2 linked regions of the Arabidopsis thaliana genome follow. The protein of the gene in region 1 purifies or fractionates together with the protein of each later gene. This does not show direct contact. Each region holds a gene or a part of one and is shown on either strand. Other genes may lie near its edges.

The links. The genes of interacting proteins can lie anywhere in the genome.
Region 2: the proteins of PEX13 (region 1) and APEM9 purify together in Arabidopsis thaliana (affinity purification with western blotting; one study listed by BioGRID). This does not show direct contact.

The regions. Positions count from the first base shown.
Region 1 is NC_003074.8:2,410,821-2,415,450, forward strand, and holds PEX13 (peroxin 13), read right to left. Parts: upstream 2,768-4,630; 5' UTR 2,491-2,767; coding exon 2,472-2,490; intron 1,975-2,471; coding exon 1,735-1,974; intron 1,655-1,734; coding exon 1,311-1,654; intron 1,205-1,310; coding exon 1,112-1,204; intron 1,015-1,111; coding exon 796-1,014; 3' UTR 501-795; downstream 1-500. Other genes in the region: AT3G07550 (RNI-like superfamily protein), read left to right, coding at 1-313; AT3G07565 (histone H2A deubiquitinase (DUF3755)), read left to right, coding at 3,003-3,241, 3,708-3,807, 3,943-4,005, 4,241-4,361, 4,452-4,561. UniProt on the Arabidopsis thaliana protein: Component of the PEX13-PEX14 docking complex, a translocon channel that specifically mediates the import of peroxisomal cargo proteins bound to PEX5 receptor.
Region 2 is NC_003074.8:3,302,282-3,307,052, reverse strand, and holds APEM9 (3-phosphoinositide-dependent protein kinase-1), read right to left. Parts: upstream 2,829-4,771; 5' UTR 2,708-2,828; coding exon 2,664-2,707; intron 2,338-2,663; coding exon 2,161-2,337; exon of another isoform or gene 2,016-2,160; coding exon of another isoform or gene 1,999-2,015; coding exon 1,921-1,998; intron 1,628-1,920; coding exon 1,354-1,627; intron 1,267-1,353; coding exon 959-1,266; intron 868-958; coding exon 747-867; 3' UTR 549-746; downstream 1-548. Other genes in the region: CYP77A6 (cytochrome P450, family 77, subfamily A, polypeptide 6), read right to left, coding at 3,356-4,771. UniProt on the Arabidopsis thaliana protein: Involved in peroxisome biogenesis and matrix protein import. Required for pollen maturation and in vivo germination via its role in peroxisomal function, which partially involves jasmonic acid biosynthesis.

The DNA of each region.
Region 1 (4,630 bases):
AGGTTGTCCATTGCTCCAAGAGTGGAACTTGGCTCTTTGTCATGAAGTTAAGATTTCGGGATGGGAAGCCGTAGGGAAGTGGTGCCGTAACTTGAAGAAACTCCATGTGAACCGTTGTAGGAACTTATGTGACCAAGGGTTGCTTGCTCTACGATGCGGTTGCATGAACCTCCAGATTCTCTACATGAACGGGAACGCGAGGCTGACCCCTACAGCAATTGAGATGTTCAGATTACATAGAGCCGATATAACACTAAGAACAGAAGAAATGATGGTCATAGGACCAGACTGGAGACTATATGCACAAGAATAAAAGCATCAATTTCTATCAACAGTACATGATTCTTTTAAGTTCGTTCATACGACATTTTTGGGACCAATGTGTTGGTCTTGTCTAGAGGCAAACTGCAAGAAAAGATGTATTCAAGAATAGGCTTCAAGTTGTTAATAAAGTATCAAAATCGTTTACTGGTCAACAGTGTTGTTTCAAATCCAGTAAAAGAGGAAGAGAATCGGATATTATAAATATATATCAATAGAAAGGTCTTTAACAAACACTTAAAACTTCACTTTCCATTTTGTAGAGTACGACATCTATCCTTTACCACACAATCAGAGAATACTGAGAGATAGAGAGAAGAGAAGAAGAGACTCAATTTGCAAACAAACATCTGGTTTTCGTACATCCCAATCTGTGTTGCAGGCTGCTACACGGTTTATCTTCTATCGGTAACCAACTGGTTGTCATGGTGTTTTAAAGCAATGTTGAAGGATTTGGGTAATGAAAGAAGTAACTTAGTTGCCCCATACATTGTCCCAACCACCGCCACCACCTGGTGCAGCAGTTTTAGGCCCCTCGAGGTAGTTCTGGTTTCCATGTGGCTGGTGTGGTAAAGGTAGCCCATTAGGCCCTTGTGGTGGCTGCTGCATCTTTCTAGGCCTTGTTCTCACCCCAAGCATACGCAGTACAAATCTTGCTAATTCTCCATATAACATACCACCACGATCAAATAGCTGAGGACAAATAAATGATTGGTTAACATGAGAACAATGAAATGGATCAAGGAACCAGTAAAATACGAGTTGGTAGAAGAAAAAAACAGGAAGGAACCTGAAGAAGGGCAGACATGAACATGTGAAAGGCCTGTGTGTTTTGATCTATAAGCATCGCTACACGGCCAAAGAAATTCACAGCACCTTGCATCTGTCATCAATCAAAACATGAACACTTTATGTTATACAGTACTACCTTATCATTATCAACTTCTTTTATTTCTTATACAAAATAAAGTATGAATAATGAACAATACCACACGGAGAAATGATATCCAGAAGCCTGGTGGAGATGGAGGTTGATTAAAAGGGTCATTTGGATCTTGACTACCATAAGGACCACCCATTCCCATTCCCATCCCCATTCCCATTCCCGTTCCCATACCCATACCATAACCACCCATCGTGCCACCATAACCACCCATCGCACCACCACCATACATGCCTGAACTTCCATAGAGCCCACCACCACCATAACCTCCTCTATACATGCTACTACCTCCATACATCCCACCACCATATGATGAACCATACCCACCTAATGCTGAACCATATGTACCTGACCCATACCCAGAGGTCATACCTAGATTTGAACCATAACCTGCCATTCATACAATAAAAGAACTAAGCTTTATGCAATCTCAGCAACCAAAAAATCTAAGATAACTTGAAAAAATATACCTCCCCCCATAGTGCTCCCATAATTCTGCTGTTCCCAAGGTCTAGCCGGTACAGGCCTACTGAGTGAATTCATATTAGCAGCTGTATTAGGCCTGTTCACGGGCGGAGGAACTACTTCACCAGGATTAGCTGTGCCAGAAGCCTCAACTGAACCAGCCGTGCTAGTATTAGAAGGAGGCCTGAAAGGATTAGGACCAGATGTATTTCCTTCTTTTTCCCAAGGTTTAGGAGGACTGCCACCTACAGCAGCAGTAAATTGAATTAATTATACGTTTAGTGACATGACAGATAGTATTCTGAAAATAAGACTAAACTTTAATCAGCACAGGCAAACACACACACTAAAGAGACTTGATGAAAGCAATTGTAAAGATGATTAGGAACAGTATCGGTAACACAAGTGAGGTTATGTGAAAACATCAAAGTAGAACTATGATGTAGAATAAGAAAAGGCATCAAATTGCAATCCAAAACGAAAGCATCTAATTGAATCAAGAAAATCTAAGGCCAATCAAAGCTAAGCGCAATCCAAAAGCTGATCTCATCAATTGATTACAACCCTAAATTAAAATCCAATTGTAGGTCGAAAGTTAATCAATTTCACAACTTTCAAATCAAACAACTCGACGGGTCTCATCGAACGTACCAAAATTGTAGAAGGAGAATTCAATAAATCGAGACCCTAAAATCTGAATCCTCAAAAAAAAAAAAAAAAAAAGAATTTCAATTGAGCTAACCTGCAGGCTGAGACGCCATATATCAAAGAGACGACGATTGGAGAGAGCTCTTGTTGGTAATCTCCGACGCCAACCTCAAGCGCGGAGAGAGAGAGATAGAGAGACAAGAGAGGTGGGATGAAGAAGACAGAGGAGAAGGGACCTCGAAAAGAGAGGAAAAAACAAAACAGATTACTTTCTTCTTTTAGGTTATTATGTATCAGCCCCTATAGTTATAATCCTTACCCAAAAAGCCTCTTAATTACTAAAATTGACGTATTTGACTCTCAAAAATAGAAAACCAAAATCCGAAAAAGGATAGAGATGAAATTATATGTTTATATTATTATAAGCAAAGATTCCATATTTCGAGGGAAGCAGAAGAAGAAGCTCAGTCGGCGGCCGGATTAATCTCCCCATCATCTCTCTCTCTCCCTCTCTCTGTTCCTATCCCGGCGAATTCATATCTGAATTTCCCAAAATTCAAACTTTTCCGGTGGAATTATTTTAGGAAACCAAGTGACTTCTTAAGCTCCAAAAATTGGGTATTTAATGGCGGCGAGCGCGAACCCGTCGGGGAACAATCAGGAAGGTTCGTCGGCGACGCAGAAGGTATCGTCTTCTTCAGCGGCGGCGGCGAATGGCGCTGCTGTGAATTCCGTCGATAATGGTGGAAATACAGGCGCGGCGGCGGATAATTCACAGACGATTGGCGCGTTGAGGCATAATCCAGGGATCTCTACCGATTGGACTCTTGAGGAACAATCTCTATTGGAAGATTTGCTTGTCAAGTAATCTTCTCGCTCTCTCTCTGTATGTTTAAGATTTGGATTTGCTGTTTTATCCAATGTTCTTTCTATCTGACTAGATGTGACTAGATGTAGTGAATTCTGCGATATGTTATTTTCCATGGCCTTTCAAGCATCATGTAGCTTGAATCGGAATATGTGTTGAGAATTGTTAGCTTTGGTCGGGTTTTTTGAATTATATCTGAGAAGAGAAACAGTGGTATTTGATTAGCTGATTGTGAGTTTTGGATGTGGTTTCAAGTATGGTAATAAATAAAATACTAGAAAAATGACTAGCTAGCTAGTGTGGTATCATATTTATGATAGGCTCATTAGTGTTAGAGCAATGTGAAAATTTTAGGATTTAATTAGAGGATGAGTTGTCTACTTATCTGTAATGACTGGTTGTAAATTTTTGTAGGAGCCTTGTTAAATCCTATCACTCTTTTAGTAATTAATCTTTATATAGGTACGCGACAGAACCGTCGGTTTTTCGATATGCGAAGATTGCTATGAAAATGAAAGATAAGACTGTTCGAGATGTTGCCCTGCGCTGTAGATGGATGACTGTAAGTTTCTTGATTTTGCTTAATCCGGCGACTTTTTCGTTGTTCTTGATTAACCTTCTTCGTGTATTGGCTTTATTGATTAGTAAGAATCAACTGACGGTTTTTCACCTCCATGTGGTTGCTGATGGATTGCAGAAAAAGGAAAACGGAAAGCGTAGGAAAGAAGATCATTCCTCGAGGAAAAGCAAAGATAAGAAAGTATGTGGATTTCAATCCTATTTGCTGCTACTTAGCAATTTCGATACTAGCAAGGCTAAGAAAGATATTTGAAGTACAAACCATAAATCAGCTTGATTGAATTCTAATGTGTAACTAGCTTGAACCTTTAGTCATTTACTTGTGAGTTTGGACGGATGAAAGTTCTTGTGTTGTCTTGTGGATCCATTTATAAGTCTACAAAAACTGATTGATTGTCTTTCACATATCTGTTTAGCAGGAAAAAGCTACAGATTCTTCAGCCAAGTCCTCATCTCATTTGAATGTTCATCCTAATGGTCCTTCTTATGCTCCGCCTATGATGCCTATCGATACTGATGATGGTATTTCATATAAAGGTTTGTCTAAGATTCTAGGCTTTTTCCATTTAAAGGCTAAATCTTCTAGATTGGATTAGAAGGAGCATAAGTGTTTCGGCTTTATTGCAGCTATTGGTGGTGTGAGTGGAGATCTTCTCGAGCAAAATGCTCAAATGTTCAATCAACTTTCAACAAATTTCTCAGCTTTCCAGGTGAATTCAACTTCCACTTTTCATCTTGTAAGTTTTGTATAATTCGCTGAGTTTTTTGGACTTGATTTGATTCTCTGCCTTGTGCTGTTGGCTTTT
Region 2 (4,771 bases), 890 kb from region 1:
TTTAGAGTTTTTGTTCTAGTCTAGACTTTAGTTGAATAGAAACTACCTACATAGTGATTGCGTGTCTTGAAAAGTAAAGAACAGTTTCACAATCTCGGGATGTTCGAGTTGATCAAGAACAATCCTCTCCAATTTGACATAAGCGGTTTTATTCTCTTTGGTGATAAACTTTTTGTCCATGATCTTTAAGGCATACACAGTTCCATTATCCTTCTTCTTCGCCCTAACAACCTGATTCAATTACACATACGTAAAATCTCCAGGATATGAATTGATTCATGAATCAAACCAAATTGCAGAAAAAGGTGTGATTTTTACAGGAAAAAAAATCGAAAAAATGAATCCTTTGAATAAGAGCCAACGCCATAGATCTTGCCGAGCTCGAAATCATGGTAAGTGAAATTCTCCTGAGGAGCCTTAAAGGCGAAGCTTTTGCTTCTGTAAATAGTTTCACCATTAGAAGATGAATTCCCTTGAAGTGTAAGCTTTGAATCTGAAACTGTAATCCCTTGCTTCTTCGAAATCCAAACATACGAGGATTTATCCCATATTAAAAAGGCAAGGAGAAATATAGATAAAACATAATATGCAACGGGTTCTTAATCATGTTCAGTGATTACAGTTTGATATAAGTGGAGAAGTTTGGGAAAACTAAGTTTGAACTTTGAATAGAACCAATTATGAAAATATTTGAGTGTTGGTTTGGTATTACATAGGCATTTTCAATGCCAAATTTTGATCCATCTTCATGTTGTGGTGCTTGGTATGGATTGAATTGCTGCAAGAGGATTCACTTGGTATGAAAACGCAAGCTTCCAGAAATCTACTATTGCTTTTCTCGTGGACTCCATTTGCCTGCGAATGATCCTGAAACAAGTAAACAAGTTTCACAATGTATTTTTTCATCACACAACTTCTGATCATTCAAGCATAGAAACAAGCTTATAAGAATTCTTACCTTATCAAAGCAGCTCGTTTTCTCTTCAAAGCATAACATATGATTAATCCAACAAGGCTTACGGCAACCTTTCCCCTGGACATGCTAAATTGGGTATTACCAACCTTGAGGCTTAGAGGATGGGATGACCAAAGTGACCAAGGTTCATGCTGTTTAGATAGTTTCAGGAAAGAATCAATCTCATCATTCTTTTCATTACCCAACGACTTCTTGTTATTCACTACAGCATAAGAAGAATCTTTGGAATTTTCCTCAAAAGAACTAGCTGTTTTGAGAGAAAGTAAGGAATGCAATCTTCTCAAAATCCCCTGAAATAGACAGTTTAGTGTAGCATCATAGTTAGAACAAATTCACAATTTCATACACAACTCACGAAAATATTCAATAGTTAGTACCTGTCGCCTTTCCTCAGGCAATGCAGCTTTTTCAACCCATGAAATGGCTAGGCCCATGTCATTTGAAAATTTTGCAAGAACTCCAAAAGTATACAGCTCAACGACTTCCATGTACTCATCAATATCTAAACAGTTTTTCGCATGGAATCCTTTTGTACTTACTCCAGCATCATTTAGGATATAGTGGTTGTCCTTGTAAACCCATATTCTAAAGAACTCTTCCAGAATATCACGTACACCCAAATAGGAACCATTTGATATTTGAAGGCATACTCTAAAAGGGAAAAAAAGGGAAGAAGATCAATAAACTAGATTTCAACAATCTTGTTCTGTGACTTTTGTCTATGCTAATGCATCCAGAGAGCAGTATTGTACTCCCCTTAAGAAGAAAAAGTTTGCAAATAAAATGAATGTTATTGTACTCCCCTTAAGAAGAAAAAGTTAGCAAATAAAATGAATGTATTTTACTCCTAGTTTTGAAAAATAAACTGCAAAAAGAACCAAATATTCTCCTTTTAAAGCATCTTAAGCTGTAATACTTTGAAAGATTTAGAACAAGAACAATACCCAGTAAGAAGAACTTGAACAGGAATAGCTGCAACTTCTCCAAACACATCTCTTAACTCATTTACAATCTCAACTGTCCTGCATGAAAAAGGCATTTGTTGGCAAAAACTATCACATAGCCAAAACTACAACAAGCGTCCAAGACTCTAAAGTTTCTTTAGAGCATCCAATTCCAAACAGAAGTAAGAGGCAAAAGAACTACTCATGTTATAACATCTGAATACAGTAAATGAAATATACCTGCCGATTCCATGCAAGGATTGAACTAAGACCATACCAGCAGATTCCAACATATCATGAAATTGATGATCACCTTGAGAAGCTTCGTCGGATAAAACATCAATGTTGCCAAATATTCTTTTCAGTATAGAGGAAGATAATGACTCTGCCTCTTCATACATAGAGCACACTAGGTAACTATACACATCCAACAAAAAAAAAAATGAGTAATGAAATTGGTACTGAGCCAATTTCTCAACTTGAAAACAGATAATTTTTACAAGTATGAGATAAATTTGAGTGGACATCATCATAAGCAATTTCATTTGAACTTGTTTCTTGTCAAGTCTGTGATGAATCGTTTTTCTACAAACTCTATACATGACTGAATCAAAGCCGGATAGATAATTATCGTGATAACTAATTCTGAGAAAATTTTGACTTCTCCTTATACACATGGCCAAGTACGGAACCAAAATTCGCAAGCATGAAAAATTAAAATTTAAGCAAATTCTCAGGAATACCTCTCAGAACGTTCAATTTCTCCCCAAATATCAGTTGCCTCCATTGTAGAGGTATTGGAAGAAGCTTATCCAAAGCTTCAATTAGACACAACAGAGCGATGAGATTGATTCTGCTCGAATGAAGAACGAGGAAGAAGCGAGGGAGAGGAATTAATTGGGTATTTGCTATTGGGCCAATATAATGGGCTTCTCCTTCACAAATCTAATCAAAGCAAGCTAAGCCCAAAAATGATGATTAGCATTATTCTGGTTGTTAATGGGCCATTAGTTTCGCATTAAAAGTGAAGTAGAACAGTGATACATTGCGTGAACTGTTATTTCAAACATTCAATGATTCATGAACATGCAACAAGATTAGTTAACAAGTTAAAATCTGAGCTAACTTTTGCGGCTCAATGAAAGTCCAGCATCACATTCATGTCTTTTTCATTTTTGACATCGACATGTCTCTTCTCTTTATAGCTACTTGGCCCTACTTTCGGTGTATGTACGAAATTATTAGTGTTAAGCACAATCTCAAGGTAGCTCAGTTTTACATTGAAAAAAAAAAAAAAAAGCAAAATCATTTATTGATGTGTTTTGACAATAAATGAAATCTTTTACTAGAAATTCACAAAGCACTTGACAAATTTCAAGAGTATAGGTTCCTTCTTTAATATATAAGCACACATCGTTTTCATAATTAAACAAATTTAGACCCTTGGCTTAACCATGGCTCTCAACGGTTTCTTCATTACCACCGTAAACTCCAATTTCCCGGCGAAATCAATTTCACTTTCCGGCGGATAAGCGCTCCACTCAAACTCTTGAACCATCTTCGCTAGCATCAAATGCACGTGTACGGTCGCCATCGCTAGCCCCGGACAGATCCGACGGCCAATACCGAACGGCATCATTTTAACTCCGGTTACACCGGTTATGTCCGCTTCCTCCTTACCCGAAATAAACCGATCCGGGTTAAATTTCTTCGGATCAGACCAAAGCTTTGGATCCTCATTTATTCCCGGAAGATAAAACTCAACGTTAATCCCAACGGGAACATCGTAACCGGCGACCGTCGTCGGCTCCGTGACGGAATGAGTCAACGTAAAGTATGTCGGAGGATGTTTCCGTAAAATCTCCTTAACAACGGCTTGTAAAAAGACCATTTTATCCACATCTTTTTCCTCAACCTCACGATCTCCAACCGTTGATTTAATCTCATCGTAGAGCCGAGATTGAATCTCAGGATTCACAATCAGTTGCGCTATACCCCACTCGATCGCCGTCCCCGTCGTATCCGTACCACCGTTAAGAAACTCAGAGCAGAGCGACACAAGCTCTTCATTAGACGGCGTCGTTATACGACCTTCGGTTTTAAGGTCAAAGAGTGTATCAAGATAAGAAAAAGACGACGCCGTTTTATCAGTCCCCGGCTTCTGAATCGCTCTCCGTCGTCTCTCGATGAGTTTAACGATGAAATCAACTTGTTCACAACGAACCTCGAGAGCTCTTGCTCTCTCCTTGGAATAAAACGGAGCAAGAATCGGGAGATAATCATCGAGTCTTGGATTGAGTGTGATCAACACTTTCTTCATCACTTGATCCATATTCAATATCGATTCTTCATCCATTTCGATTCCAAAACACATCTCCAAAAGAATACAAAACGCAGCGAATCTTGCGTTTCTTAGGACCCAAACAAGACCGTCGTTGTCTTTAGCTTCTGATTTGATCCTCTCGACGAGTTTATCCATTGCGGATTGTCTCAACGACCCGAATTCTCTGAACCGGATCGAGCTTAACATGTTCTGTACCATGTTCTTTCTCAGGGATCGCCATACTGGACCGTACGCTGAAGCGTTAACGGTGAAAGTGTTGGAGCTGAAGATGGTTCGGGTCGGATTCTCGGTGGGTCGGGTTGCGAACATTGGTCCACGTTGAATCAGAACGTCGTGGACGAGAGCTGAATCAGAGATTATGATCATTGTTCGACTTCCCATCCTCAACGTGTAGATAGGACCGTATTTTTTCCTTACATCGTCAACGTACTCGTAAAACTGCTTCCCGGAGCGCGCGAATTGGAAGAGGTTTCCAACCACCGGCCACCCCGGAGGACCTGGAGGAAG